Linked DNA regions of Elephas maximus indicus. The protein of the gene in region 3 interacts with the protein of the main gene of each other region in a biochemical or structural test. Links are inferred from orthologs where the notes say so. Each region holds a gene or a part of one and is shown on either strand. Other genes may lie near its edges. The genes, in order: UBE2B, USP16, histone H2A type 2-C and MYSM1.

Evidence for each region.
Region 1: of the proteins of histone H2A type 2-C (region 3) and UBE2B, one has a biochemical effect on the other in vitro, tested with the Homo sapiens proteins (2 studies listed by BioGRID, with this or other methods). The link is inferred for Elephas maximus indicus from reciprocal best matches to the Homo sapiens genes H2AC20 and UBE2B.
Region 2: of the proteins of histone H2A type 2-C (region 3) and USP16, one has a biochemical effect on the other in vitro, tested with the Homo sapiens proteins (2 studies listed by BioGRID). The link is inferred for Elephas maximus indicus from reciprocal best matches to the Homo sapiens genes H2AC20 and USP16.
Region 4: of the proteins of histone H2A type 2-C (region 3) and MYSM1, one has a biochemical effect on the other in vitro, tested with the Homo sapiens proteins (2 studies listed by BioGRID). The link is inferred for Elephas maximus indicus from reciprocal best matches to the Homo sapiens genes H2AC20 and MYSM1.

What each region holds. Positions count from the first base shown.
Region 1 is NC_064820.1:146,804,837-146,812,566, forward strand, and holds the start of UBE2B (ubiquitin-conjugating enzyme E2 B), read left to right. Parts: upstream 1-4,713; 5' UTR 4,714-4,824; coding exon 4,825-4,868; intron 4,869-6,911; coding exon 6,912-6,992; intron 6,993-7,730. Other genes in the region: CDKL3 (cyclin-dependent kinase-like 3), read right to left, coding at 426-605, 4,144-4,164. UniProt on the Homo sapiens protein: E2 ubiquitin-conjugating enzyme that accepts ubiquitin from the ubiquitin-activating enzyme E1 and transfers it to a E3 ubiquitin-protein ligase. In vitro catalyzes 'Lys-11'-, as well as 'Lys-48'- and 'Lys-63'-linked polyubiquitination.
Region 2 is NC_064836.1:32,781,223-32,789,153, forward strand, and holds the start of USP16 (ubiquitin carboxyl-terminal hydrolase 16), read right to left. Parts: upstream 3,008-7,931; 5' UTR 2,854-3,007; intron 1-2,853. Other genes in the region: RWDD2B (RWD domain-containing protein 2B), read left to right, coding at 3,049-3,132. UniProt on the Homo sapiens protein: Specifically deubiquitinates 'Lys-120' of histone H2A (H2AK119Ub), a specific tag for epigenetic transcriptional repression, thereby acting as a coactivator.
Region 3 is NC_064821.1:184,028,435-184,033,951, reverse strand, and holds histone H2A type 2-C, read right to left. Parts: upstream 940-5,517; 5' UTR 903-939; coding exon 513-902; downstream 1-512. Other genes in the region: histone H2A type 2-B, read left to right, coding at 1-354; histone H2B type 2-E, read left to right, coding at 1,201-1,581. UniProt on the Homo sapiens protein: Core component of nucleosome. Nucleosomes wrap and compact DNA into chromatin, limiting DNA accessibility to the cellular machineries which require DNA as a template.
Region 4 is NC_064821.1:103,010,990-103,018,074, forward strand, and holds the start of MYSM1 (deubiquitinase MYSM1), read right to left. Parts: upstream 3,013-7,085; 5' UTR 2,955-3,012; coding exon 2,890-2,954; intron 1-2,889. UniProt on the Homo sapiens protein: Metalloprotease with deubiquitinase activity that plays important regulator roles in hematopoietic stem cell function, blood cell production and immune response.

The DNA.
Region 1 (7,730 bases), on a different chromosome or scaffold from region 3:
GTGCAATAGAGTTAAAGAAAGAACTAGAGATAGTCTCTGGGAAAAGGTCTTCTAATTACATTTTCACTTATGGTGCACAGAGTTCTCTTGAGGGCAGGGACTATCTCTTACATCTTTATAGTCCCAGAATCTAGCACAATGCCTTGCACAAAGCAGTCATTTTTATTCAATATTCATTATACTAGAATATTTCTGAGTAATTATTTCACAACACTTGGCATAGCTTTTGTTAAGTTATACACAAGCACATGCATCTTTTATCACTATAAAATTACAAAATGTTAGATAATAAACGGAGTATCACACTTGTTTTTCAGTTAATGTCTTAGCACATGTGTTAACTGAAATATTCTTGTAAACAATTTTTTTTATTTTCTAACAATTTCTCTTATGATTTATAGAACAATTAAGCAAAAGAAGCAAACCTTTAGAAACTTTATTTCTCTCGTTGCGATTTTGTTGACAGATTTTTCTGGTTTCTCATAAAATATCTTAATGGCCACTATCTGCCCAGTAACCTTATGTTTACACTTCATGACTGTTCCATAACTTCCCTCTCCCACTTTTCCAAGGGTTTCATACATCTCCATTTTAAAGTCTGGCTTCTACTTCCTCAGAGAAATAAAGGAAAAAAAAATGTTAAACGTTTATAGTTTTATTTATTCAAGCTGGATAATGCATTTCCAAAATAAACCCATACTTTCAAATACAGAAACATAGAAAAAATCACGAATCTTTTCCACAGAATCTGTCTTTGAGCACTCCGCCAGCCCGCCAATGAAGTGTTCCTATGGGGCTCCTGCCCTTACCAGAACTTATGGCTCGGCTGCCTCGGTTATTCCCATTAACACTGAGGTTCCCTTACTACGTGTCACCCATCTATGAAGTGTGTAGTCCCAACACTTCCTGTCATTCCTTCGTCAAATATTAGGTCCCCGCACCACTGCAGCTCCCACACATCAGGCCCGGGACTGAGGAAAGCATAAGTCCCGCCCGCTCCTCAAATCCGACGTCTAAGGTCCTGGACCGGAGTCGCGCCCCTCACCCCGCTGTCGAGTTAGTCCGGGCAGCCACCGCCGCCTCAGCCCATTCTGCAGTCCTGTCAGCCTAGCTCCGCGCAGTCCCAGCCGGGCAACGGGACACGGACCCGCCTCTGCCAGCCAACCCCGCCAGCTCGCAGCCGCCCGCTACCATGGCAACGCAGCGACAACACTCTGCCCCTAGTGCGCAAGACCGGATTATCGGCCGGGTCCGACCCGGAAGGAAAGTGAGAAAAAGCGGAAAGGGCTCCTGGAGCGCGCTAAAATGGAAGCTTGCTTGGGGATCCGTTGGGGTCTTGGTGGGTTTGGCTTCGCTCAAACTCGGGGCCTCCTCACAAGGTTAGTTTTGAGCGGGATGGGAAGCATCCACATTTTGACAGCAGCATGAGTGTGTGGCATGCGTCGCGGACGCCACCAGGCTGGAGAACACCCGCCGCTAAAAGAATGGCTGTTGTCATTAAGCTGTGATAGTTTGTAAAGCGAGACTTCCAAGAAAGTCTTGTGTGGTTTTTGTTTTTTAAGTTACTTAGTACAATACTATTCCATGGACCTGAGTTTGACCTCAGGTGTTGACATTCATCCTTAAACGGGTATATCATCAAGAATATTTCGTGAACACCTCTCTTTAAAATTTCTTCCAACTCCTAGTAATCCTTTTTAAAAAAGTCCCTCACTACATGTTAAAATAGCCCCTTGGGGAAAAGACCCTGAAGAAAGTAATTCAAAGGATTTTACCACACACAGGGAGTGACATGCAATAGCACAGAGAAAAAGGGGCCAGTGTTTAATTGCTTAAGGACTGGACATAGGGTTCAACTGTAGTGACAGCTTAAAAATGAATAACTAGAGTAATGCCGAACAAGTACCTAGGAAGTACTGCCTTTCTCGGGGTTTTAGTTTCTTCTGTAAAATGAGATAAGTGTATAAGGTCAAATCCCACCATGCTTCCTCTAAATAAATTATTATCTAATATTGTTATCTAATAAATCTAGCCCAGTGCTTCCCACCCCAACATGGACATTAAAATCACACCTGGATAGCTTTTAAGAAGTCCTCACTCCCAGAAATTCTGATTCACTTGGGATGGGGTAAAGGAGAAAACCCTGGTGGTGCAGTGGTTAGGTGCTATGGCTGCTAACCAAAGAGACCCTAGTTCAAATCCACCAGGCGCTCCTTGGAAACTCTATGGGGCAGTTCTACTCTGTCCTATAGGGTCGCTATGAGTCGGAATCGACTCGACGGCACTGGGTTTGGGGTAAAGGAATTGGTATTTTAAAAGTTCCTCCAAGTGTTTCTAATATGCTGCTACGGTTTAGAGCTTCTGAGTGGGGAGAGTGAGGAGGAATGATCCTGGTTTTCCTTTTCATTAGCAAAATATTCAGAGTCGTCTTTCCTTTTGAAAAGTTACTCAACAATGTTTAAAAATCCTTGTAATCTATGAGTGTCAAAGTTAATCTTTGCCCAGACTTGCTGTAAGCATATTTATTTAACATTTATTGTGGGTTAAATATTTGTAAAGAACAGAACATGAATCAGACTGGTCTCTGCCCTCAGTGAGCTCACAATCTAGAGCCACAGAATTGTTCAAAACAAAAAAACCAAAACCATTGCCGTCGAGTCAATTCCATACTGCCGACCTTTTTGGTTAGCAGCTGTAGCTCTTAACCACTACTCCTGCCAGGGTTTCCACAGAATTGATAAGACTATACAATTTCAGAAACCCTGGCAGCAGTAATGGTTAAGTACTACAGCTGCCAACCAAGAGGTCGGCAGTTCGAAACCACGAGGCACTCCTTGGAAACCCTACAGGGCAGTTCTACTCTGCCCTATATGGTCACTATGAGTTGGAATGACTCGATGGCAATGGGTTTTATACAGTTTTAGCTTGAAATTATTCATTTTACAAATAGGCTGTGGCAGGCTTGGAGACCTGAACAGCCAATGATTCTTCCTTATACATCGCTCTAAGACTATGAAGATCCTTGACAGAATTTGTCAAAAATGTTACTTCATTTTGGAAAACCATGTACAATTAAAATTGCTAGATAAATTACATCACAGGGTTTTTAAAAAGTAACTCTTTAACCTTTTTTCTTTAGCATTTCACTGCGTGGTACCCTATACCGTCTGTTTTACTCCCTAGCTGTGGAGAATATGGTAGGAAGGCAAAAAAAATCAGCTTTTGACTTAGAGAATCACATTTGTGATTGAATAGCAGGACCTATCAAGAGTTAGGCCTAGCTAGCTTGATCACCAAGGCTGTTACTAAAAGCTAACGATAGAATTCAGGATTTGAAAAAAGGGAGGTACCAGTAAAGCTAACCCTTCCTGGTTTCTTGGAAATACAGGCAAGCTGAAGAAAGACTGATACAATGCAAAGAAATTTCCCTGCCTTGAGCTGAAGAATTTGTCAAGTAAATATGAAAAATTGCTGAGAGTCATCCTGAGCAACAAAGACCTGGAGTCAGTTAAAGACTATAGCTGGAGGAAACTCAGTGAAGAGAAAATGGCACAGGATGGACACTTCTTGCTCATTTGGGCCTTGCTTGGCTAGTGTAGAAAACCAGAAATGAGTTCTCTCAGGCTAGATATATAAATAAGTCCCACCCATGTCAGCACATCTCCCGCAGATCTGAATCGTATTTGTAGGTTTCTTTAACAACAGATCACCTGTCGCACCCTCGCAGTTCTTGACAAATACGATTCCCTACCGTAGCCCAACCCATGGATTCTTAACACAAGTCCTCAAATGAGAGAACCATACAGGAAAAACAAAACTTTTAATTCCGTGCTTATTTTAAACAACAACAACAAAAAAGCCGTGGACAATCTGTACACCGTTTTTTAATCTTTGCCCAGAATTTCCAATCCTGAAAACTCCACTGCAAAAGAAAGAGGCTATTTGATGACCTAAGGAAGAATTTCGGGGGATTTTGTTTCGTGTGGGCCTCAGCATTTAATGCTGCGCTTATTAAAAGATCGAGAAAGTCCCTACACTACTACTTTGCCTTAAGAGCCAGACTGATTAACCACTGAAACAACGAGAGGGAATTTTATGTCCAAATTATTTTGGGCTCCATTTTAAAGATTTAGAAAGACAAACCTGCTTCCGGCATGACCTCATCGATAATGTAGTCCCTGTACGTGAGACAGACTGATACAGGTGTACCCCACCCTAATACCCATAAACTTGGGTACCCGCATCATAGAGCTGGCTGAGACTGATTCAGGCGGCGGTCCCACGTGATCCATTCTAATCGCGTCATAGGGACGCGTGGTTCTAGCTACCTCACCCCTCCCCGTCAGGGGTGGATTGTTGACAACGCCGCCGGTGTCACGTGACCTGACGTCATTCCACCTCCTTTCCCTGAAGTCCCTGGACCCGGATGCGTCCGTCTCTCCCCACCCAGCCGAGCCTAAGTCAGTGAAGGGGGGAAACAGGGTGGTGTTTCGGTCACGATGGCTTTTAATCCAATGGGTCTAAGCATAAAGAATACCAACTTGTCGAGGAGTTCAGGAAGCCAAAATGAGAGCGGTCCTTGCTGAGAGGCTCCCGGAACGTGCTCTCCTACATCCCGCCCTCGCTCACCTTGTCCCCCTCCCCTCCCTCTGTGGTACTGGCGGAGGGCGGAGGGATCTGGAGGCGGCGGAGGGAGACGTCATTGCAGGGTTGTTTGTGCAGCGCGGCGGCGGTGACCCACAGTGACTCGGCCGCCGCGCCGGGGGGTGGGGGGGGCTGTGCGGAACTCTTTTCTTTCAGACTGACCGCGGGGCAGCTTGGAGCATGTCTACCCCGGCCCGAAGGAGGCTCATGCGGGATTTCAAGCGGTAAGGGCCTTCACCTTCACCTGGCCGACGGCTCCTTCTCAAAGCTATGGAGCTGCAGGGCGGGGACCTCGGACACGTTCCCCTCACGACCCTAAGGGGACTGGCTGTGGGCCCTAGCGGGATCGACGGGAACCCAGTGGTAGTCTTCGCACCCACTCCCTCTTGCTGTTCCTTAGCGGCGTTAGAAATCTCGATATCCTCCCCCTCTCAATCTTAGCCAAAAAAAGTAAACAAAAAAGGTGGCTGTCGCCGGCCTAAGGTTCCCTGCTGCCCACTTCTGCCAGCTTCCCGACGTCTTGTCCAAGCGCTCAAACCTTATCCTCCCGCCCCTGCACCCTACTGCGCCCTTTCTCTGCCTCCCCAAAGTGAGCTCTGATGCAGAAGCTTGTTCCCTGTCTGCTGAACTCGTCAGCTTTGTTCAACAGCTCCACGTTCTCCTTTGAGGGCCAGAGGTTGGGGTAAAGGTCCCCCTCCCCCCGCCTCGTCATTCCTTTTCTTTCAGCATTGAGGGTGGGGTCTGAAGTGAGAGGCCCGGAGGTTGCTAACCCATCCCGCGAAACCCGACTCTGCCCCCGCCTGCCTGAAAGGACCTTGAGAACTGGCCGGGAGGCCTGGGCCCCGGGCTGCCAGCTCCGGTGCCAGTGCCTTCTGGTGTATAAAGCCCTATCTATAATCTCCAAATCCTTCTGGAAACATGCCTTCTGTCAAACGGGCGCTAACCTGATACTCCCTGGGCCTCTTTTTGTAAAGTAGGGCTTTGTTAGGAGGTGTTACGGTTACTGAGGAGGAAATGATTTTTTCAGTTGTTTACCTCTTACTGAATACCTGGAGGTTGAGAAAAATAAAAATAAGGGGTGAGAGGATTTAGTACCGCAATTCTCTGCACAAGCCACAGTTTTCTGGGGGAGTGTAAAAGGTTAAAGTAACCTCCCAACTTTCCCATTATAAAGCCGTAGTTGAGGCATTTGGAAACTATTGTTTCGGGCTTTGCCCAACTTAGCTGAAATCACTCAGAGCTTCTCTTAGCTGTTCACCTCTGATGAGCGTCAAGCAATGTGTAGTTTCTCTAAGGGTCTTATTCTTCGTGGCTTAATATCCTTGAGGTGGAGTAAAAACCATTTTTATGTGGACTAAAGGGGAAAGTATCATGCCACATATGATAATAATTGATAGATGATAGAGCTTTTATTTAGATGACAGTCTTTAAAAGAATATACTTTGTTTAGTCCAAAAGTCTTTCTAAAGTTTGAAATTTGTAGATTTCAGATTAACTCTTATGATTGGAATTCAAATACTAAAGCTTGCAGAGCCTGTCCGTTGTTCCCCTACTTGCTTACTGTTTTTCTCTGCTTAATTCTGGATTGAACACATGGCCCCCTTGGTAGTTTTCCAGGGGTTATGAGAATTTGTATTGGATCTCCTGGTTTGCCGGGTATGATTTGGTTTTTAGTATAGAGCCCTAAAATAGACCAAACTGAAGCTTCAGATTACTATAAATGCCATCGCTAACTGAAGCAAATGTGATAAAGGTGCTCTCCTTCCTAAAACTGATTTCCTAATTAAAAGAATATGAGCAAAAAATAAATAAGCACTTGCAGTCCTTTAGCATTTACACTTAGGTTGTGTGTGTGTGTTGCACACGTAGCTGTGGTTAGGAGTTTCAATCTTTGTTTAGAGCAGCAGATCCTGTTCTGTAAAAATATTTTTGCACTTGAGTTTGTGTGTTTTGCTTTTGGTTTTTTTTGTTGTTCAGGAGGACAGTCTGTATGCATCAGTTTTTCAAGAGATCATATCTTAACCTTGAAAATACTTGAAAAGGATGAATCCCAAGCCCTTGGGACTTATAGAAAATTTGCAGAGATATTTAATAAGTATATATACCTTTTTTTTTTTAAGTCAGGTATAGTTCATTCCAGCTCAACATAAGCTAAGGAAATTAGTTTGTGTCGCCAAAGTAGATGATACAGAGAACGTCGGTGTTTCGTTTGGCCTCCTTGGAGTCCTTAGTGTTTGATTTTTAAAGTTACTACTATGGATTCCTAGGTTGCAAGAGGACCCACCTGTGGGTGTTAGTGGCGCACCATCTGAAAACAACATCATGCAGTGGAACGCTGTTATATTTGGGTGAGTTGAAAGGTAACAATAGGTGTGGTGATTCTTGAGAAAAGTTAATATGTAACAAATGTCTAGAAAAAAGACTGAGGTGGAATCAGGGACCTGAAGGACTGAAACTGCAAGATAAATTAGAAAAAATTTTTTGGTTAAGAATTTTGGCACTTACATAGAATATATTTGCGCTTTAGCATTACATATTGATTTTATAGTCATTTTGGTTTTACTTAATGAAAAATACCATTTGAAACTAAATTGAATAATAAAGGAGAAAAGATAAATTCTTTTGTACAAAATGTACCAGGTAAGTATTCTGCTCACATTTTATTGCGACTGTAAAAAGGCTTGGAACCAAAAACATTGTGAACTTTCTCTATGGCGAGAATGTAAATGAAAATGTTTCACAGCCCAGTGTAAAATAACTGAATGGATCCATTTGATAAACAGCCTTCTTACAAATGATATGTTTTACATATATGCCTTTTAATTTAAATTTTCCTTAATGCCTTTTTTTTTTGCCCCTGGACTTGATCCTTTTTTTCTTTCATTTTTTTTAAACTAGGGTTTTGGACTAAAATTTGAAATTCAGATTTGTTTTGAAGGAATGCGTTGGTAAAAGAAATTCTCAGTTGCCACAGAATCAGTTACAAGAGTATACGTTAAAAAAAAAAAAAAAGACTAGAAAGAAAAAATTAAAGAAGCAAAACACTGTTTTAAAGTGACCATCCATTACATTCAGACTGTTAACTG
Region 2 (7,931 bases), on a different chromosome or scaffold from region 3:
CTCCTGGTGGCCCGGGAGTTATGAGCTCGGCTGCTAACCAAAAGGTCAGCAGTTTGAATGTACCAGCCCCTCCCTGGAAACCCTGATGGGGGGTAGGACACAGGGTCGCTAGGAGTCGGCAGCAACTTGAAGGCAATGAGTTTTATTGGCTAGCAGAGAACTGATCACAACTGCATTCTCAACTATTTACATTGTTATATTACTGCCAAAACCACTTTGGGAGGCTATGACAAACCCCGAGCTGCACATCAAATCTTCGCTTCTTTAATTAACAATTCATAATTAGAAAATACGGAAAGTGCTGAAAGTACAGACAAATCTACCTAACTTTTACATGATAATAATGGTTTTGAAAAGTTGTATTTTAAATGTACTAAAAAAAAAATTTATGAGTGTCAAAATCACTTAAATGACTAACTCCATAACAGTTGTTTTACTTGGAAGGTTTATTAAAATTCTGATTTCATATGTGGAGAGTGTGCCCTGGGACCTGTTTTGAAACACTGCCCAGTTAATTCTGGTATGTAGCTGTCATCACTGCTCTGGCTTAGAGTCGTACATGTATGTATTCCTCTTTTTAGTTCTTCACAGGTTAGTGTAATCGAAGGTAACGTAATTCAAAAAGACTTGTATAAAAAATAAGTGCCACATCAAGTAACTGGTAAGAAAATCCTTCCAAGGATAATCTAAAATGTTTACAAAATAAATGAATAAACTAACAATGAAGGAACGCAAAGTATCTGTACATACATTAAACCAATGTACATTTTATGTACTATTACTCATCCTAAAAATCACATTTCATGTAATTTATTTCACCTAGAATAAATCATATATTTTACAGAAAAAAAAAATAGCTCCAACTCCCTCTATTCTATGCTGCATGCCAGTACCAAATTCATCTTCCAATAATGTCATTTTCATCACATCACTGTCTTGATTGTAAGCATTTAACAGTTTCTCTAACCAAACTCCTAGGTTTTGCACTCATGGTCCTTAATAGTTTGGCCCCAGCACTCTGGTAATCCTGATTCTCATTACTCCTCAACAAAGAACCACTAAGTTTTTGGGTTTTGTTTGTTTTTAATGTTTGTGTGTGTGTGTATGATAAAATTACTCAGCATATATAACAAAACATTTTCCATTTCAATATAAAGTTCTAATTATATAGTGCTTTGGGTCTTCAGGAGCCCTGGTGGCACAGTGGTTAAGTGCTATCGCTGCTAACCAAAAGGTCAAATCCAACAGCCACTCTTTGGAAAGCCTAGGGGGAAGTTCTACTCTGTTCTCTAAGGTTGCTATGAGTTGGAATCAGCTTGATGGCAACGGGTTTGGTTTGGTTTTTTTTTTTTGAGTCTTCAAAGCCCTTTAACAAACATCTCATTTGACTTTCACAGCAACTCTTCAAACTAGGCACTTCTCTAAATGAGGAAACTCAGAAATAAAACAATGAAAGATGACAAGGCAACAGAGATGGAACCAAAACCCAGATCTTTAGGTTCCAAGGCTCTTTCCATTACAATTTAGCCAGTCTCTTCAGTATCTTCCACTCCAAAACCCTTTGCCCTCACCTCTATACCTTTGATTTCTAGCAGGAATGTTGTCTCTATCTGTCCAAATCTTACCAATCCTCTAAGCTCTCCATCTCAACAAAACCTGACCCAGCTTTTCTACTCTGAATGAACTCCACACTGAGCTTCCGCAGCATTTCTGCTGTTATTCATCTTGTTCCCAATGAGATACCAGAGCAAACTGCTTCTTAAATCTTTAGTCTGGCCCTATGTTACCTCTCTACCTGAAATCTAAAGTTCTAGAAAAAAGAAAGCTTTTAGGCATTTCTTCTGAATTGCCTACAGCATCTAGTAGAGTGTTAGTGCACAGAAGGCTCTCAAGAAATACTTCTTGTGTTGCAATGGAAAAAGAGAATGGTACCTGAGCCATAAAGGATGATTATAAGGTGCAAAGATGGATACATAAGAATGAAGCAAACAAGTTCTGGTGAAAAAGAAAAGGGTGGAGAGTGAAGAGGTCTGCAGCACTGAAGACAGCACTAGGAAATCTGGTTTGAGGACTGCAGAAGCCCAGACGCCAAAGGAAAACTTGGAAGACGAACTGTAATTGCTGCAGGCAGAAGACAGTAGGGGGTCATCATTTCAACGCTGTGGAAACAACTTCAGTAAAATTTCGACAACTATAAAAGGCGTTTAATGAATCTGAGAAGAGAGTATTGGGAATGCCATTAAAAAAATCTATTAAAATTTCAGGAGTGTCTTCGGAAAAGAATTAGATGCTTGGCCAAGTTACTCTTTCCAGGACCCACGTCACACGAAATTTAAATCAAAGCTAGTCTTCCCCTGCCTACTCCGTTCTATTAAAAATGCAAGTGTGTGGGAAACATCGTCAGCAGGTCTTAAACGTGGCTTTTAAGTTTTGGGTAGTTGGATCCTCCCCTGGGAGCATTCAGTCGGGTAGGTGACGGACCTCGGCTATCCTATCAATCAGAACGTGGACGCAGCTGCAAACCCAGCCGCAGCCATTGGGTGCTCCCAGCAGCGCGCCACCCGCCCACTCGTGCGGCACCTGCCCTTCCTTTCCAACTGCTCTGCACCCACAGGAGAACCTCGGGGTCCACGGGGTCAAAAGGGGCGCCAGCACCAGCGACTGACGGGTCAGCTCCTGGAACTGACAGGACATACAGCCAATAAGAACACGGGACCGGGCCGGGGCCGGGTAATGGGTTTAAGGAGAACAGGCCGTCGAAAACAGAACGAGGTTGGGGCAGAAAATTCGGGTCCCTCAGAGCGCAGGCAGTCATGTGAGCAGTGACTGCGAGTCAGCGGGGTCAGAACTCACCCACGGCGACAGCGCCCATAACTGCATCCCCTAGTGGCCCTGTGGGCTGGGCACCCAGCTCCGTCCTCCTCCCGGAGACGATTAGTGAGCGACAGTATGCCCGAAGCCCAGTGACCCCGAGAAAGCAACAACTTCCGGGACACGGCATTATGGGAAGAGGCTTCCGCCCAGGGTTCCGCTCACTGAAACTTGTGAATGGCGCCTGCGCACACATGCGCCGGATGTCCGGGGGCCTCAACTCCTGAGAGAGTCCCTACTCCAGTACGACTGTGGGGTTATGTAAGTGTGTGGGGCTTGTGGGTGCCTACTTACAGGGTCGGTGTGAGTCGGAATCGACTCAAGGCAGTGGGTTTGGTTTGGGTTTGGTAGTGAGGGCTAGAGGTTCGGGACCTCCTACTTGAATATAAACAAATGACTGCCGGTGTCTTCCAAGTTACCTTTCTTAAACTCGCTACATGTGAAGTCTCCATCAGAGGGGAACGGAACATTGAAATTTCACGCAGTTTCCCTAATTCTAACCTATACTTCTAAAATTGAGTACGTAAATTGTCTTGAACTAACTTGCTGTAATACATCAGAATAAAAAGGTAAAGCAGTGAAGGAGATTTAAAACAACTCAAAAAGATCAGAGAACTAAGGAAGATAAAATTGTCAAACCTGTAGTGTTTATTCCTTCAGATATGTAAGTGCCCACTTGTCCCAAGCCCCGTGCTAAGTGAGTTAAACATAGGCTTCACCCTCCTAGAATTTGTTAATAGAGGAGACGCAAAATTCAGCAAGAAAAAAAAAAATGCAAGTGCCAATAGAAAAATAAGCAAGGAATGTAAACAAGTAATTGACCAAAAAAGAATAGTTGGTCATAATATACATGAAAAAATACCGTTGCTAGTAATCAGTACTAGATGGACAAGACAAAAACGTTTAGTTACATTTGGTCGTAAATTGTTCTCCTGTCCTTTACTGCTACTGAGATATAATTTTTTAAGATTTGTTTGCACATCTTCAGCCACACTGGCATTTTTTGTTGTTGTTTCCTGTTCAAAAACACACCCTTAAGGCATTGTACCACCTGTTTCCCCTCCTGGAATGATGTTCCCCTTGATCTATCATGGTTAGTATTTTCACACCTGAAAAGTCACTTCCCTGCAGAGGTATTTGCTGAGTGACCTATATAAAATGGCCATCAGATCATTCACATCACCTTGTTTTATTTCTTTGACAAGCAATTACTACTATCAGGTATTTTTCTTTCATACTTGCCTGTATACTTGCCCCTCCACCTCACCACAAATACACACAAATGTGCAAATGTAAGCTTCTTGAGAGCTGCTACATCTTTGTCTTATTCATGGCTATGTCTCCAATACCTAGAAGTGCCTACAACATAATAAGCACTTTAAAAATTTTTGAAGAAAATGGTCATTGCACATGAAATGTTTGTACAAAAAGGTTCATAGCAGCTTTACTCATAATAGCCATGTACAGAAAACAAGGTGAAAAAACCTAGATTTCTACACACACACACACACACACAAAAGGAAAAACTGTGGTGTATTCTTCATTCAATATGATGCTATTAAGCAATAAAAAGTAACTACTGAGCAGAACATGGATGAATCTTTAAAATATACTGAGTGAAAGAAGCCTTCAAAAAAACGGTACCGTATGATTCCATTCATATGAATTTCTACAATAGGTAAAACTAATTATGGTGGGAAAAAGTCAGAGTAATTGTTTTCTCTTGGGGAGTTGGGCGAGGGGACCGACTGGAGAGGGGCACGAAGGAACTTCCCGAGGTTATGGTAATGTCCTTTATCTTCACAGTGTTTGAGTTACACAGGTGTAACTCAGCAGACTTAGCAAATGTATGCTTAAGGTGTGCATTTCACCATTTGCAATTTTTACCTCAGTCTTAGTCTGGAAGCTCCACTGAAACCTGTTCACCATGCGTGATCCTGCTGGTATTTGAAATACCTGTGGCATAGCTCCCAGCATCACAGCAACACGCAAGCCACCACAGTATGACATACTGACAGACTAAGCTTACAGATTAAGACTAGGAAAAAGGGCCAGGCTATCTACTTCTGAAAAAATGGCCAGTGAAAATCATATGAATAGCAGTGGAATATTGTCTGACATAGTGCTGAAAGGTGAGCCCTTCAGGTTGGAAGGCACTCAAAATATGACTTGGGAAGAGGTACAGCCTGAAAGTAGATTCAACCTTAATGACGTGGATGGAGTAAAGTTTTTTGGAACTTCATTTGCTGATGTGGCATGATTCAAAATGAGAAGAAATAGTTGCAAACATCTGTTAGTATTCAGAGCATAGAATGTACGAACCAAGTATGAATTTAGGAAAATTGAAAGTTGTCAAAAATGAAATGGAATGATTGATGATCATATCCTAGGCATAAGTAAACTGAAATAGACTGGTATTGGCCATTTTGAATTGGACAATGGTATGGTCTACTATGGAAACCCTGGTGGCGTAGTGGTAAGTACTACAGCTGCTAACCAAGAGGTCAGTAGTTCGAATTCTCCAGGCACTCCTTGGAAACTCTACGGGGCAGTTCTACTCTGTCCTATAGGGTTGCTATGAGTCAGAATCGACTCAACAGCAGTGGGTTTGGTTTTCTTGGTTTATGGTCTTATCATGCCGGAATGGCAAACTGAAGAGGAACAGCATCACATTCATTGATAAAAAGAGCATTTCGAGGTCTATCCTGAAGTACAGAGCTCTCAGTGATAGGATAATACCCATATGCCTACAAGGAAGACCAGTTAATATGCCTGTTATTCAAATTTACACACCAACCGCTAACGCCAAAGATGAAATTGAAAACTTTTACCAACTTCTGCAGTCTGAAATTGACCAAACATGCAATCCAGATGCCCTGATAATTTTCAGTGATTGGAATGTGAAAGTTAGAAAATAGAACGATTGGTAGTTGGAAAATAAGGCCTTGGTGATAGAAACAATGCTGGTGATAGCATGATTGAATTTTGCAAGACCAAAAACTTATTCATTGTAAATGCCTTTTCTCAACAATATAAATCGTGACTATATACATGGATCTTACCAGATGGAAAACACAGGAATCAAATCAACTACATCTGTTCAAAGAGACAATGGAAAACCTCAATGTCATCAATCAGAACAAGGCCAAGGGGCCAACTGTGGAGCTAGACCATCACTTGCTCATATGCAAGTTGAAGTTGAAACAAATTAAAGCAAGTCAATGAGAACCAAACTAAGGCCTTGAGTATATTACAACTGAGATCATCTCAAAAGTAGATTTGATGCAATGAACACTAATGATTGAAGACCAGACGAGTTGTGGAATGACATCATACATGAAGAAAGTAAAAGGTCATTAAAAAGGAAAGAAGGAAAAGGCCAAAATGGATGTCAGAAGAGACTCTGACACTTGGTCTTGAACATCGAGTAGCTAAAGTGAATGCAAGAAACGATCATATAAAAGATGTGAACAGATTTCAAAGGGCAGCTTGAGAAGACAAAGTATTATAATGACATGTGCAAAGGCCTGGAGTTAGAAAACCACGCTTGACATTTCTCAAGCTGGAAAGAACTGAAGAAAACATTCAAGCCTCCAGTTGCAACATGGAAAGATTCTACTGGGAAAATATTAAATGATGCAGGAAGCATCAAAAGAAGATGGAAGGAATACACAGAATCATTGTACCAAAAAGAATTGGACGACATTCAACTATTTCAGGAGGTAGAATATGATCAAGAACTGATGGTATTGAAGGAAGAAGTCCAAGCTGCACTGAAGGCATTGGTGAAAAACAAAGCTCCAGGAATTGACAGAATACCAACTGAGATGTTTTAACAAACGGATGCAGTGCTGGAGGTGCTCACGAGTCTGTCAAGAAATTTGGAAGACACCTACCTGGCCAACTGACTGGAAGAGATCCATAGTTGTGCACATTCCAAAGGTGATATAACAGAATGCGGTGATTATCGAACAATATCACTAATATCACATGCAAGTAAAATTTTGCTGAAGATAATGAAAAAACGGTGGCAGCAGTACATCAGCAGGGAACTGCCACAAATTCAAGCCAGATTCAGAAGAAGGCATGCAACAAGGGATATCATTGCTGATGTCAGACGGATCTTGGCTAAAAGCAGAGAATACCAGAAAGATGCTTACCTGTGTTTTATTGACTATGCAAAGACATTCACCAATGTGGATCATAACAAATTATGGATAATATTGCGAGGAATGGGAATTACAGAAGACTTAATTGCGCTCATGAGGAACCTGTACATAGACCAAGAGGCAGTTGTTCAAACAGAACAAGGGGATACTTCATGGTTTAAAGTCAGGGAAGGTGTGCATCAGGGTTGTATCTTTTCAACATACTTGTCCAATCTGTATGCTGAGCAAATAATCAGAGAAGCTGGACTATATGCAGCATTAGAATTGGATGAAGACTTGGTAACAACCTGTGATATGCAGATGATACAACCTTGCTTGCTGAAAGTGAAGAGGACTTGAAGCACTTAACTGATGAAGATCAAAGACTACGGCCTTCAGTATGGCTTACATCTGAAAGTGAAGAGGACTTGAAGCACTTAACTGATGAAGATCAAAGACTACGGCCTTCAGTATGGCTTACATCTCATCATAAAGAAAACAAAAATCCTCACAAGTGGACCAGTAAGCAACATCATGATAAACAGAGAAAAGATGGAAGTTGTCAAGAATTTAATTTTACTCAGATCCACTGTCAACACCCATTGAAGCGGCAGTTGAGAAATCAGATGATGTATCACATTGGCCAAATCTGCAGCAAAAGACCTCTTCAAAGTATTAAAAAGCAAAGATGTCACCTTGAGGACTAAGGTGCACCTGACCCAAGCCATGATATTTCAATCGCCTAATATGCATGTGAAAGCTGGGCAATGAATAAGGAAGACCAAAGAAGAATTGATGCCTTCAGATTACAGTGTTGGAGAAGGATATTGCATATACCCTGGACTACCAGAAGAAAGAGTAAGTCTGTCATAGAGGAAGTACAGCCAGAGCATCCCCTGGAAGCAAGGATGG
Region 3 (5,517 bases):
AAGGCCAAGTCGCGCTCGTCACGCGCTGGCCTTCAGTTCCCGGTGGGCCGAGTACACCGCCTGCTCCGCAAAGGCAACTATGCCGAGCGCGTGGGTGCAGGCGCGCCTGTGTACTTGGCGGCCGTGCTCGAGTATCTGACGGCGGAAATCCTGGAGTTGGCGGGGAACGCGGCCCGCGACAACAAGAAGACGCGCATCATTCCTCGCCATTTGCAACTGGCCGTGAGAAATGACGAAGAGCTCAACAAGTTACTCGGAGGTGTCACCATTGCTCAGGGCGGCGTCTTGCCAAATATCCAGGCTGTCTTGTTACCCAAGAAAACGGAGAGTCACAAACCTGGCAAGAATAAATAATTAACCTTTATACCATCCCTCGTCATCCCAAAGGCTCTTTTAAGAGCCACCAAAGTGTCAAATGAAGGGCTGATCACGAAATAGCGCATTAGCTCTTTCTTTGAAAACTTGGGTGGCTCTAAAAAGAGCCTTTGTTCTTTGGCTTACTTTGTCGCGATCTACTTGCTTTTGGTTTTGTGACTTTCGGTTTTCTTTGGTAATAGAACGGCCTGGATGTTGGGCAAAACACCGCCTTGGGCGATGGTGACTTTGCCCAACAGCTTGTTTAGCTCCTCGTCGTTACGAATAGCCAGCTGGAGGTGACGGGGGATGATGCGCGTCTTCTTGTTGTCCCGGGCCGCGTTGCCCGCCAGCTCTAGGATCTCCGCTGTCAGGTACTCGAGCACCGCCGCCATGTAGACGGGCGCACCGGCCCCCACCCGCTCGGCATAGTTGCCTTTACGGAGCAGACGGTGAACTCGGCCCACCGGGAACTGCAGGCCTGCACGGGAGGAGCGCGATTTGGCCTTAGCACGAGCTTTACCTCCTTGTTTTCCGCGTCCTGACATTGCCAAACGGGAAATGTGCAAAATCAAGATTAAGAAAACAGCCCTAGGAAAGCTTTTATAAGCTTTCTTAGGGGTGGAGTTAGGAGCGAGATTTTCATTGGCCCTAAATCGCTCCACAAACGGCCAATAAAATCAAGAGTTCTTCTTACGTAGCTATTACTGGAAAAGCAAGGCCCACTACTTTGACCAATAGAAACTAAATACTTTTGGAGCCCTAATTTGCATAAGATGGTTATAAAATGATCAGGCCCGCCCATTCTCAACTTCTGTTCTCTGTTGGACAGTGTTGTCTTTTACAATGCCTGAGCCGGCCAAATCCGCTCCTGCTCCTAAGAAGGGCTCTAAGAAAGCCGTCACCAAGGCCCAGAAGAAAGATGGCAAGAAGCGCAAGCGGAGCCGCAAGGAGAGTTACTCCATCTACGTGTACAAGGTGCTGAAGCAGGTCCACCCCGACACGGGCATTTCGTCCAAGGCCATGGGTATCATGAACTCCTTCGTCAACGACATCTTCGAGCGCATCGCCGGGGAAGCGTCCCGCCTGGCGCATTACAACAAACGCTCGACCATCACGTCCCGGGAGATCCAGACGGCCGTGCGCCTGCTGCTGCCCGGCGAGCTGGCCAAGCACGCTGTGTCCGAGGGCACCAAGGCCGTCACCAAGTACACCAGCTCCAAGTGAGTCCCTTTGCGGGACCCGGCGCACACACTGTTCGCCGGCCTCTTTGCTCCAAAGGCTCTTTTCAGAGCCACCCACCTAGTCACAAGAAAAGAGCTTTATTCACTTGTCTTTTCACATTCTTCTCACAAAGTAGAGATCAGAGACGATGGCACACGTAGCTTTTTAAATTTTTGTGACCCGCGGGCCCGGCACGTGACTGGCTTTGTTTTTCAACATAGATACATTCTTGCTCCTCGCTGCGCTTAGTTTTTTTCTAGAAGTCGGTTGTAAATAAGGGTATTGGGAATTTATGGCGGCTTTGTTCCAGAATATGCTTTATCTGTGTTCGAAACGAACTGATTCTGGTTGGTCCTCTTAAAAATGAGCTCGGGACACAAGCCCGGGCCCGCGACAGCCCTGTACGACTGAAGAATTCCCCTGAGAGCTTGGGAGCGGCTTGCGCGAATGGACGCTGATCCTGCCCTGCAATGGGGCTGTTTGCGGATGCCAGCGGCTCCGCGCACTGAGGGCGGAGCCGGCGGGTCTGCTTCCCAGCTGTCCCGTGATTGGACCGATTGAATATTCAAAATCCTGCCGTCCTGGAATTGGCTGACTCGGGTTTGCGCCGCTTTCTTCAGGGCTTTGAAATCCCAATTATTTCCTTGATTTGTGGGTCGTTTTTGGATTTAATGTTCGCTTTGCTGCGTCCCCAGGTCACTTCAACCCAGATAGTGATCTTTTAGGTCTGCTTCAAAAGTCATCTCGCAGAGACCCGGATCAACCATTCAGGAATCCGCATTCCTCTTGTTCTTGCCGGTTTTACCTTCCTCGTAGCAGCCGTCTGAAATTGGTTCGTTTGTTTTCTCGTTTATGTTTTTTTTTCCTCAACCAGTTTGCAAACCCTCGAAGACAGACTTTGCTGACCTTGGCTCTCCACTATATCTTCGGCGCCAATTAGTGCCTGGCACGTGGTGACTCAAATGCTCGTTGGATAAGTATTTGTTGAATTTCTTTCCTATTCCACCTCTTAATCGCTTCCTTGGCTGGATGGGTGTGGGTTATTTTCGTTAGACGGATCTGGAGGCACGATGAGAATGGAAATGTTTTCGGAGTTCCCTCCTCAAAATTGTTCCTCAGTGCCGCAGCTGGGTTGAGCCTGTGTTAAGATTCTTTCTGCCCCAAAGGAGCTGTGGCTATGGTAGGTTCTTCCTTTATGCTTCCCAGGTTATATTAACTCTAGTATTTTCATTAAATTCAGAGCGTTGGTCGCTGGAAAGCAAAATTATCCTTTCCCCACCTTCTTTTCTGCCTACTTCACATCCTGATTTTCTTGTTCTCATTTGTTTTTCAAGAGACCGACCCTCTGAGGCAGGTAGAACTGGGGGCTCAATATCCTTTTCACAGATCAGGTTGAGAGAAGTTAAATGATTGGTCCACAGTCATGCAGCTAACATTGTCCACCTTTGTATCCTTAGATGCGAAGACAATTGCATTTTAGATTTATTTTGTGAAATTAAAAGATGTTGACTCTTTTCCAAACCTTGATTTTTATTGACGAAAACGGATGATTTTTCAACTCTGCTTTTGACTAAGGAGTTCTGGAGTTCGTTGCAAGGACTTCAGGAATCCCAATTAATTCCAGACATTATCACAGACAATAAATCTTATGTCTCCTACATGTGTGTTTTTAAATGTGTATAGATGTTATTGTTCTTAATAAAGGTACCAGTTAATTTAAAAGCTTCCTTGTTTTCTTTTATCTGCAGTGTACTTCCTCAATAAATTAACAGATACAGTCAACACTGGGTCTGTGAGAAAACTAGGTGCCTCTGATCTGAAGGATGAATAAAACCATCAGCTAAACTCCTCTAGGGTTAAAATAGCCTCTTAAAACTCTCCTCTTAATGCTTAAAAAAAAAAAAAGTTGCTGTGGAGTCCATTCTGACTCATCCCAACTCATGGTGACCCCATGTGTTTCAGAGCAGAATTGTGCTCCATAGGGTTTTCGTACTGTGTTTTTCTGGAAGCAGATCACTGGGACTTTACTCCAAGGTGCCTCTGGGTGGGTTCAAACCTTTTGATTAACTGAGTGCTTAATCATTTGCACCATTGAAGGACTCCTTCTTAACACTTAATTACTGAAAAATATGTGACCACAAAGAAGAAACATTATAGACAAGATGGGGAAATAAAATCCCTAAGAAAGTTTAACTTCAGTAGATCATAACATCTACAGAGCACTTATTATGTACCAAGCAGTGTTCTAAGCCTTTTACACATGTTGACTCATCTTATCCTCACAGGAACCTTGTAAGTTTTGTTTTTGTGTGCCGTTAAGTTGATTCCGACTCATAGCAACCCTATAGGACAGAGTAGAACTGTCCCATAGGGTTTCCCAGGGTGTAATCTTTACAGTAGCAGATTGCCAGGTCTTTTCTCTCACAGAGCTGCTAGTGGATTCAAACCACTGAGCAAGTGCTACGTGCTTAAGCATTTTGCCACCATGGCTCCTGCCTTATGAAGTAGACACTACTATTAATTGCTCATTTTACAGATGAGGAACTGAGGCATAGAGATGCCTCTCCTCAGAAACTCTGGTAAATAAGCTCCTAGTTTAGTGCTTAATGGATTTAAGAAAGTAGGGTCATTCTCGGAAAACCTAGACCCTTCCCTGGATTTTTATTGGGAAAAATCTATGATTTAAAATTAAAATGAAATGCCACCTACTTTGTTCTCTTTGGAATGCACTCAGGATATTAACCGAGAGGAGAGTGGATTGGTAATTAAGGGTGTATTTACTGGGCTGCTAACCAAAAGGTCAGTAGTTCAAATCCACCAGGTGCTCCTTGGAAACTCTATGGGACGGTTCTACTCTGTCCTATAGGGTCGCTATGAGTTTGGTTTTTACTGGTCCAAAAGCCATGAGGGTGGGATTGGAGGACCCTGGTTCTACATCCCAGAAGCCATAGCTCAAGTTAGCTTGTCCCTGCAGTGGTGGAGTTTTCTAGCTGGTATCCTTACACTAATGTGAGAGAATCTTAGTTGCTGGTGGAGGGACTCTTCCTGGGCATGATGTTCACTAAGAAGGAAGTTACAGAGAGGAAGGGGGGGTTGATATTTTAATTGAGCGAGAAGGTAATCAATCAGTGATGGTGAGATTAATCCTAAAAGCCTCTGATCATTTTTTTCATTTGCTCAAACGACTTGCTCTCCATTTGCTTGTATTGGGGTTAATAACAATGATGATAATAATTGTTATAATAATAATTTCTACCACTTTTTGAGCACTTAGCTATTGTCAAAGAAAAAAGTGCACCAAACAATGTTCAAACAGTTGCAAAACAATTGTAAAAAAGAAGAGGAAGGACTACTGGAAGTGGGGGAGGAATACTTCAATAAAAAAAAAATAGTGGGAGACTATTACAATGGGGAGTGAAAGACCCACGTCTGAGTTCTACTCTGATGAAGCAGAAGACTTCAGATTTCAAAAAGCTAAGGGGTTCTTAGTGTCCTTAGGAGACCTTAGGGCAGGCAGAGAGAAATAAGCGATTCTCTAGTTAGGCACCTGGAGCTTTGTAAAGTCTGGGCGAGTGGAGTCAAGGAGATATTTAAACAGAGGAGATTACTAATGCTCTTTTGGTCTGTTCTTTGCAGTATGTAAACCATTTTCTGGAACACAAAAGGATTTGAGGAGTTCTTTCATCATTGTTGCTCTCCAGCATGACGTTGTTAGCTGCTGTGGAGTTGACCCCCAACTCATGGAGACCCATGCACAACTGGTCCATCGACAGATGAGTGGTGGCTGCATTTGAGGTGCATTGGTTGGTGTAAAAGTGGTGTGGCAGAGGTGTCTGGCCTCCTCTAACTTCACAAGAGGAAAGGAGAAGCAAGATCAACAGCCCAAGGCTGATTCCCATGAGGCAGAGTTCATGCATACCTCCACCCTCTGTTTTTTTT
Region 4 (7,085 bases), about 81 Mb from region 3:
GAGAGAATAACCACTGTGCCACCAGAGCTCCTTCACAGTAACTTATACCTATGAAATAAGAAGTGAGAATAGGAAGAAGTGAATACATTTTAGAGGATACTTAATACAGAAACAACAGGATCTTAACGGCTGACAAGATGGAGGGAGTATATGCGGCGGGGAGGGGGGAAGAAAAGGAATAAGGTTCAGGTCTATGCCTCGAGTGAATGGGTAGATGCTGGTCCCATTTATTGAACGAGAAACACTGGAGAGGCAGGTTTGGTGTGGCAGTAAAAACTGTAAGTTGAGACTGAGGTACCTGTGGAACACAACTACAGACAGATTTAGAGAGTTGAATAAATAAATCTGAAGCTTAGGAGAGAAATTTGGGTTGGTGACAGATTTGGGAAACACCAGTATATATGAGGTTGAGCTTAAGAAACCGCCATTTTTGTAGTTCAAAAATGGTTGAACATTGGCAAAATTTCATAAGGTTCAACCTAAAAGAAATTGAAGTCTTAAGATGGCATCACCAGGGACTGTGTGGGTAGTGAGCGTAGAAGTCCTATGACAAAAGTCCTTTGGAACAACTTGATTTAAAGGTTGAGCAGAAGAAAAGGAGAATAACAAGGAATGGCAGGAGAAGTAAAACAGAAACCAAAAAAGTTCAACGCCATCTTCTAACTTTGGTACTTATTACTTAAGAAATGCTTAAAAAGTATGTTTTAAGTTAATCTGCATACTTCAGGGGGCGCCAACAAACAAACAAACAAACCCAAACCTGTTGCCAACAAGTTGATTCTGACTCATTGCAACCCTATAGGACAGTCCATAACTGCCACACAGAGTTTCCAAGGAGTGGCTGGTGGATTCGAACTGCTGACCTTTTGGTTAGCAGCTGAGCTCTTAACCACTGCTCCACCGCCACCAGGGCTCCCAGGGGGCACCATTCACACAAAATTCCATTGTGAATAGAGCTCCAACACCATGAAAAAAAAAAAAAATGATGCTCCTTGGAGTTCTGTAAGGCAATGGCTCTGACCAAGGATCAAAAATCTCTGTAAATCTGCTTGTAGGAGACTAAGATGACCACAGCTGCTGCTGGTAGACAGAAAACCCAAGCAGAGTAACAAGAGAAAAAGAATGAGAAGGGGAGCCGAAACGTGTTGCTGTCGAGTTGATTCCGACTCACAGCAACCCTACTGGACAGAGTAGAACTGCCCTATAGGGTTTCCAAAGAGCAGCTGGTGGATTCAAACTGCTGACCTTTGGTTAGCAGCTGAGCTCTTAACCACTGTACTACCAGGGCTCTGAGAAGCGGGGAGGGGGCTTAAACACAATAAAAAAATAAAGAACCTGGGTGGACTTTGGCAGAGCCAATGCTCTTTAATGTTTCCAAGGCCACTCATATCTCTCAGGACTACAGATTAAATATTCCTGCCCACTTATCTTATGAACATGTGAAAAGGAAATTAAATCAATCATGTAAAAGCATTTGGCCAAGTTTTAAACACTACGCAAATGTGAACAACCACTGTTACTACAGGCTCCCTACTCATCTGCATAGCTTTCGGCTGTTTTCCTTAAAGATTCAGGGAGAATGACCATATGAGTTTAATTACCCTTCACATTTTAATAGTGCTTTAGAGTTCACAACTCTGTCCTATAGAGTCGCTATGAGTCGGAATCGACTCGATGGCAGTGGGTTTGGTTTCGGTTTTGGGTAGAGTTCACAAAACACTTTTATGGCCACTATCTTAGCCCCCCCGTGGGCAGGGTTGGTACTTTTTTCCCAATTCACAGAGGCCCTGATATACAGTTGAACCATATAAAATTTCCAGCGTGCCCATCAAAAAGGTCAAAGACTGGCAATTTTACACGGTTCGGCCTAATAAATTAACAAAGTTGTTCACAACATAAACAACATGGCCAGCTGAGTTCAGAACTCAGGTCTTGGATTCCTGGCCACTCTAGGCCTCTTCCTTTACTAAAAGGAGACACTGGAAGAACATTTTTAAAATGGTACATATTGATTTCCTTATTTAAAAAACAGTACTATGGATTTCCTTACTAGGGAAGCAAGAAGCCAAAGGACCAGATCTTCCAAGCTGAGGTTGCTGTTTAAAACCACACTGGGCTGTTCTGCAGCAATCAGTATTTAATTGAGATATCTCGCTGGGTCCTCCCAATACCCAGGGTAGGGATGGTGAAAGAATACGTTTACAGAGCATCTACCATATACCAAAGCACGCAGAATAATTATTTCATTCGGTCCTCACAACAACCTGAAGATGATTCTCGGTTTACACAGGAGGTCTGAGGGTCAGACAGGTTAAGTACCTTGTCCAAGGTTAAGGCAGGGCCAGTAAATGCAGAAGGCAAACCCAGAGCTGTCCAACTCTAAAGCCTGTAAGTCAAGCTGCCTTTCAGTCAGAAGTTTTTCACAACTACCTCCATGTGAAAAAAGGAACCCTGTGGCTAGAAGAGATGAAACGACTCGCTCAAGGTCATCGCGGCTTGCGAAGGCTAGAACAAGGGTCCCCGTGCTCAGGTCCCGTTCTAGACACTGCAGGAACGCCCCTACGGCAAGTACCGGCGGGTGTGGGGCTGCGGAGATAACTGGGAAGGTACTGCGGCGGAAGAGAGAGGAGGGATATAATCGTTAGCGGGTGTGCAACATGCCAGGTGAAGTCGGCGTCGTCACAGCACTTCGGCAAAAAGGTGAAACAGTCATCCCCACTTTAGCGCCGAGTATCCGCCCGCTGGGATCAGGACACGCCAGCGGGCGCGGCGGGCCTAGCGGAGGGTCTCCGATTTCCTATCCCTTAACGCACCCGCGATCTTCCCAGGGCCGTCTCTTTGCACCCGCGCCCCTCTCCGCCCCAACGAGACCCAGTGTCTTCGCCTCACCCTGGCTGTGCTGCTGCCGCCACTACGTCCCCTTCGATGTCCACATCCGCCTCTTCAGCCGCCATGATGCGGCCTGACCCGGTCCGGTCCTCCGGAGAGATCCCGCGAGAGGTGGGGAGCCGGGGCGGGGCCGGATGCGTCAAGGGGAGGAGGTGAAGCCTCGTCCAGCCCCGCCCATGCCGGGGAGGCGGGGCTTCCAGGGGAATGGCCCTGCAGATCTGTTCCTTTCAGTAAACAGCTTTGGGGAGTGGCAGTGGCCCGGACTTTTTAGAGCTTCTGTTCTAGCACAAATTCTTTGATGCCTCATTGCTCTGATTTGTAAAATGGGGATAATAGCAGATGTCTTTCTGGACTGCTGGAGAGGTCCAGTCAGAGGGTGATTTGTGAACTATGAAGGTGGCAACTATGAGGGAGCCTTACCTATTGGTTAAGTTTTATCACTTTTATTTTTTAAATATTTATAGGAAAAGGGTCATTCAACATTTATGGAAAGTGCTGAACGACCTCTGTTTTAAAATCCAACAAACATTTAAAAATATTGCTTTATGAATGCATAATTTATTTTGTAGAGATCTTTACAATTAAAAAATTACTCTTATGACTATGAATTTTTACAATAACTCAGTGAGGCAGGCAGATCTGTTATCATCACTCATGTTTTACAAATGAGAAAACAGAGCTCAGAAAGGTGAAATGACCGTTCCAAGGATGCACAGCTTGTCAAAGTCAGAGCTGAGATCAGAATCCCAGTTTTTCTGACTCTTTACTGGGTGCTCACCCTGCACAAATCATATTGTTAGGAGCTGTGGAAGATAAACACCCTTTCTATTAAAGGAATTTATGGCCTCTCAAGAAATTAAATATTGGTCTTATGCATTCTTCTACCTTAGAATCTATCACTCACGTAATTATAATTGTTGGTTTTCTTGTCAGCCTCCTCATTAGACTCTGAATTTCTTAAGGACAAAATTGTGTTTGTCAGTGCTTACACTACCAACATTCAGCATGGTGTCTGTTACGGATTGAATTGCGTCCCCAGAAATATGTGTCAACTTGGCTAGGCCTTGATTCCCGGTATTGTGTCCACCGTTTTGTCATCTGATGTGATTTTCCTATGTGTTGTAAATCCTACCTCTGTGATGTCAATGAGTCAGGATTAGAGGTGGTTGTGTTAATGAGATAGGACTCAATCTACAAGATTAAGTTTTGTCTTGAGTCAGTCTCTTTTGTGATATAAAAGATAGGAATGAACAGAGAGACGGGGGAACCTCATAGGACTGAGAAAAAGGAGCCAGGAGGGAGCATGTCCTTTGGACCCAGAGTCTGTACTGTGAAACACCTAGACCAGAAGAAGACATGACAAGGACCTTCCCGCAGAACCTACAGAGAGAGAAAGCCTTCCCCTGAAGCTGGTGCGCTGAATTTAAACTTCTAGCCTCCTAGACTGTGAGAGAATAAATTTCTGTTAAGGCCATTCATTTGTGGTATTTCTGTTATAGCAGCACTGATAGCTAAGACAGTGTCTGACACATAGTTGTTGTTAGGTGCTGTCGAGTGGGGCCCTGACTCATAATGACCCTGTGCACAACTGAAGGAAACGCTGCCTGGTCCTGCGCTATCCCATTATCCATTGTGATCAGACTGTTGTGATCTATAGGGCTTTCATTGGCTCACTTTTGGGAGTACGTTGCCAGGCTTTTCTTCTTAGTGCAGTTTAGTCTGGATGCTCTGCTGAAACCTGTTTAGCATCATAGTAGCATGCAAGCTTCCATTGCCAGAGGAGTGATGGCTGTGCATGAGGTGTGCTGGCTAGGAATTGAACCCGGGTCTCCTTCCTGAATGGAGAGAATTCTACCACTGAGCCATCACTGCCCCTTGACACGTAGATAGTAGGTGCTCGATAAATATTGAAGGGATAATGAATAAGTCAATCAGTTAATGAAATGAGCTCACATCCCACACTATTCTCTGTTCCTTTTCACCTTTGTTTGTGCTTGGGACATAAGATGCCCTATGAATGTAAGGAGCGAGAGCCAGTGCTCAGAAACTGAATACTGCTAAGGCCTCATTCTCAGGCCACCCTGGGGATGCTGTTCCTGTTGTCAAAGGGCTTGTCCAATGACCAGTCCCAATGGTTAGCACCATACCTGGCACAGAGCAGACACTCTAAAATGTTTTTTGAGTGTATATGGTTTTCCTTGATCTTTACGTAGCAGGCAGGAATTGGGACCCTGGCAGGACTGCCTGGATGCTTGTCATATCAGATGAGAATGTTACCTCTTAGAGCATAAATTGGAGCCCCTGGGTGCTGCAAACAGTTAACACACTCAGCTGCTAAGTGGAAGTTTGAAGTTGTGAGTCCACTGAGAGATGCTTCAGAAGAAAGCCCTAGTGATCTACTGCTGAGAAATCAGCCATTGAAAAACCTGTAGCTCATCGTTCTATTCTGACATACGTGGGGTTGCCATGAGTCAGAATTGACTCAACAGCAACTGGTTTTTTGGAGCATAACACAGAATATCATATGCAAAATGTCCCTGCAACACAGCACTAAAGGCTTCCCTGGTCAATTGCCAGCCTTCAGTAGGCATTAAAATTTACATAGAAGGAAGGAAATGTCTTCACAGAATCCACTCATGCCCCAAGTCATCTATAGGTCTCCCTCAACAAAGAGATTAGTTTGAAGCCTCCCCACACATACCCTAGTCCATGCTCCTGGTTAGTTGGCTTTATGTGAAGCAGTCTTCTAAGGGCCTAGGCCCAACCCCATCTGCCAGGATATATAACCTATAACCTCCCAAGCAGGTGAACGCCAGAAGTTTAGCCTATTATTTAAAACCCTCCATTCTAGAGGCTTGTAACCATGGGACTTGTTTAAAAATCCATTTTCCCACCAAGTAGTTTGAAAGCAGAATTCAGGATTCATGTTTCACAGATATCTGTTGCACTCCTACCATGCTTGGGAATGGGGAAATGGCATTGAACAAGACCAACTCAGTCTCTGCCCTCATAAAGTCAATCAAAAATGCAGTTTCAGGACAATGCAATAAGCTGTCTGAGGGAGGACTTACAGGCTACTGTGGGATCACGGAGGAGTGGCTCTTAGTCTAGAATAAACTGTCTCCTGTATCATACTTTGGAGGAGGATATCGATCAGTGAAAATTTAACAGTTTTTTTTTTTTAATAGACTCTGTAGGTGTCCTTTTCTAACAGTTGGTCTTTCCTGATGACATGTCCAAAGTAAGTGTCATGGAATGAATTGTGTCCCCCCAAAATATACATATCAATTTGGCTAGCCTATGATTCCCAGTATTGTGTGATTGTCCACAATTTTGTCATCTGATGTGATTTTCCTATATGTTGTAAATCCTATCTCTATGGCGTTAATGAAACGGAATTAGTGGCAGTTATGTTAATACAAGGTTGGGTTGTGTCTTGAGCCAATCTCTTTTGAGATATAAAAGAGAGAAGCGAGCAGAGAGACATGGGGAATTCATACCACCAAGAAAGCAGTGCTGCAAGCAGAACACATCCTTTGGACCTGAGGTTCCTGCGTGGAGAAGCTCCTAGAACAAGGCAAGACTGATGACAAGGACCTTTCTCCTGAATGAACAGAGAGAGAAAGACTTGCCCTGGAGCTGGTGCCCTGAATTTGGACTTCTAGCCTTCTAGACTGTGAGAGAATAAATTTCTCTTTGTTAAAGCCATCCACTTGTGGTTATTTCTGTTATAGCAGCACTAGATAACTAAGACAGTAAGCAAACCAAAGTCTGACCATCCTTGCTTCTGTGGAGCAATCTGGTTGTATTTCTTCTAAGACTGATTTGTTCATTCTTCTAGCAATTCACAATATGTTCAATATTCTTCACCAACACCATAGTTTGAAAGCATCAATTCTTCTTCTGTCTTCTATATAGTGTTTGTGTGTATTTACTTTTCACCATACATATATTTATCATAGTATATATATTTATTGCAGTATAAATACCACAGCTAAAATGTGCCTGAGTGGTGTAAACAGTTTGTGCTCGACTGCTAACCCAAAGGTTGGCAGTTCAAATCCACCCAGCAGTACCATGGAAGAAAAGGCCTAGTGATCTGCTTCCGTTAAGATTACAGCCAAGAAAACCCTATTGAGAAGTTCTACTCTGTAACACATGGGGTTGCTATACGTTGGAACCAACTTAATAGTAAT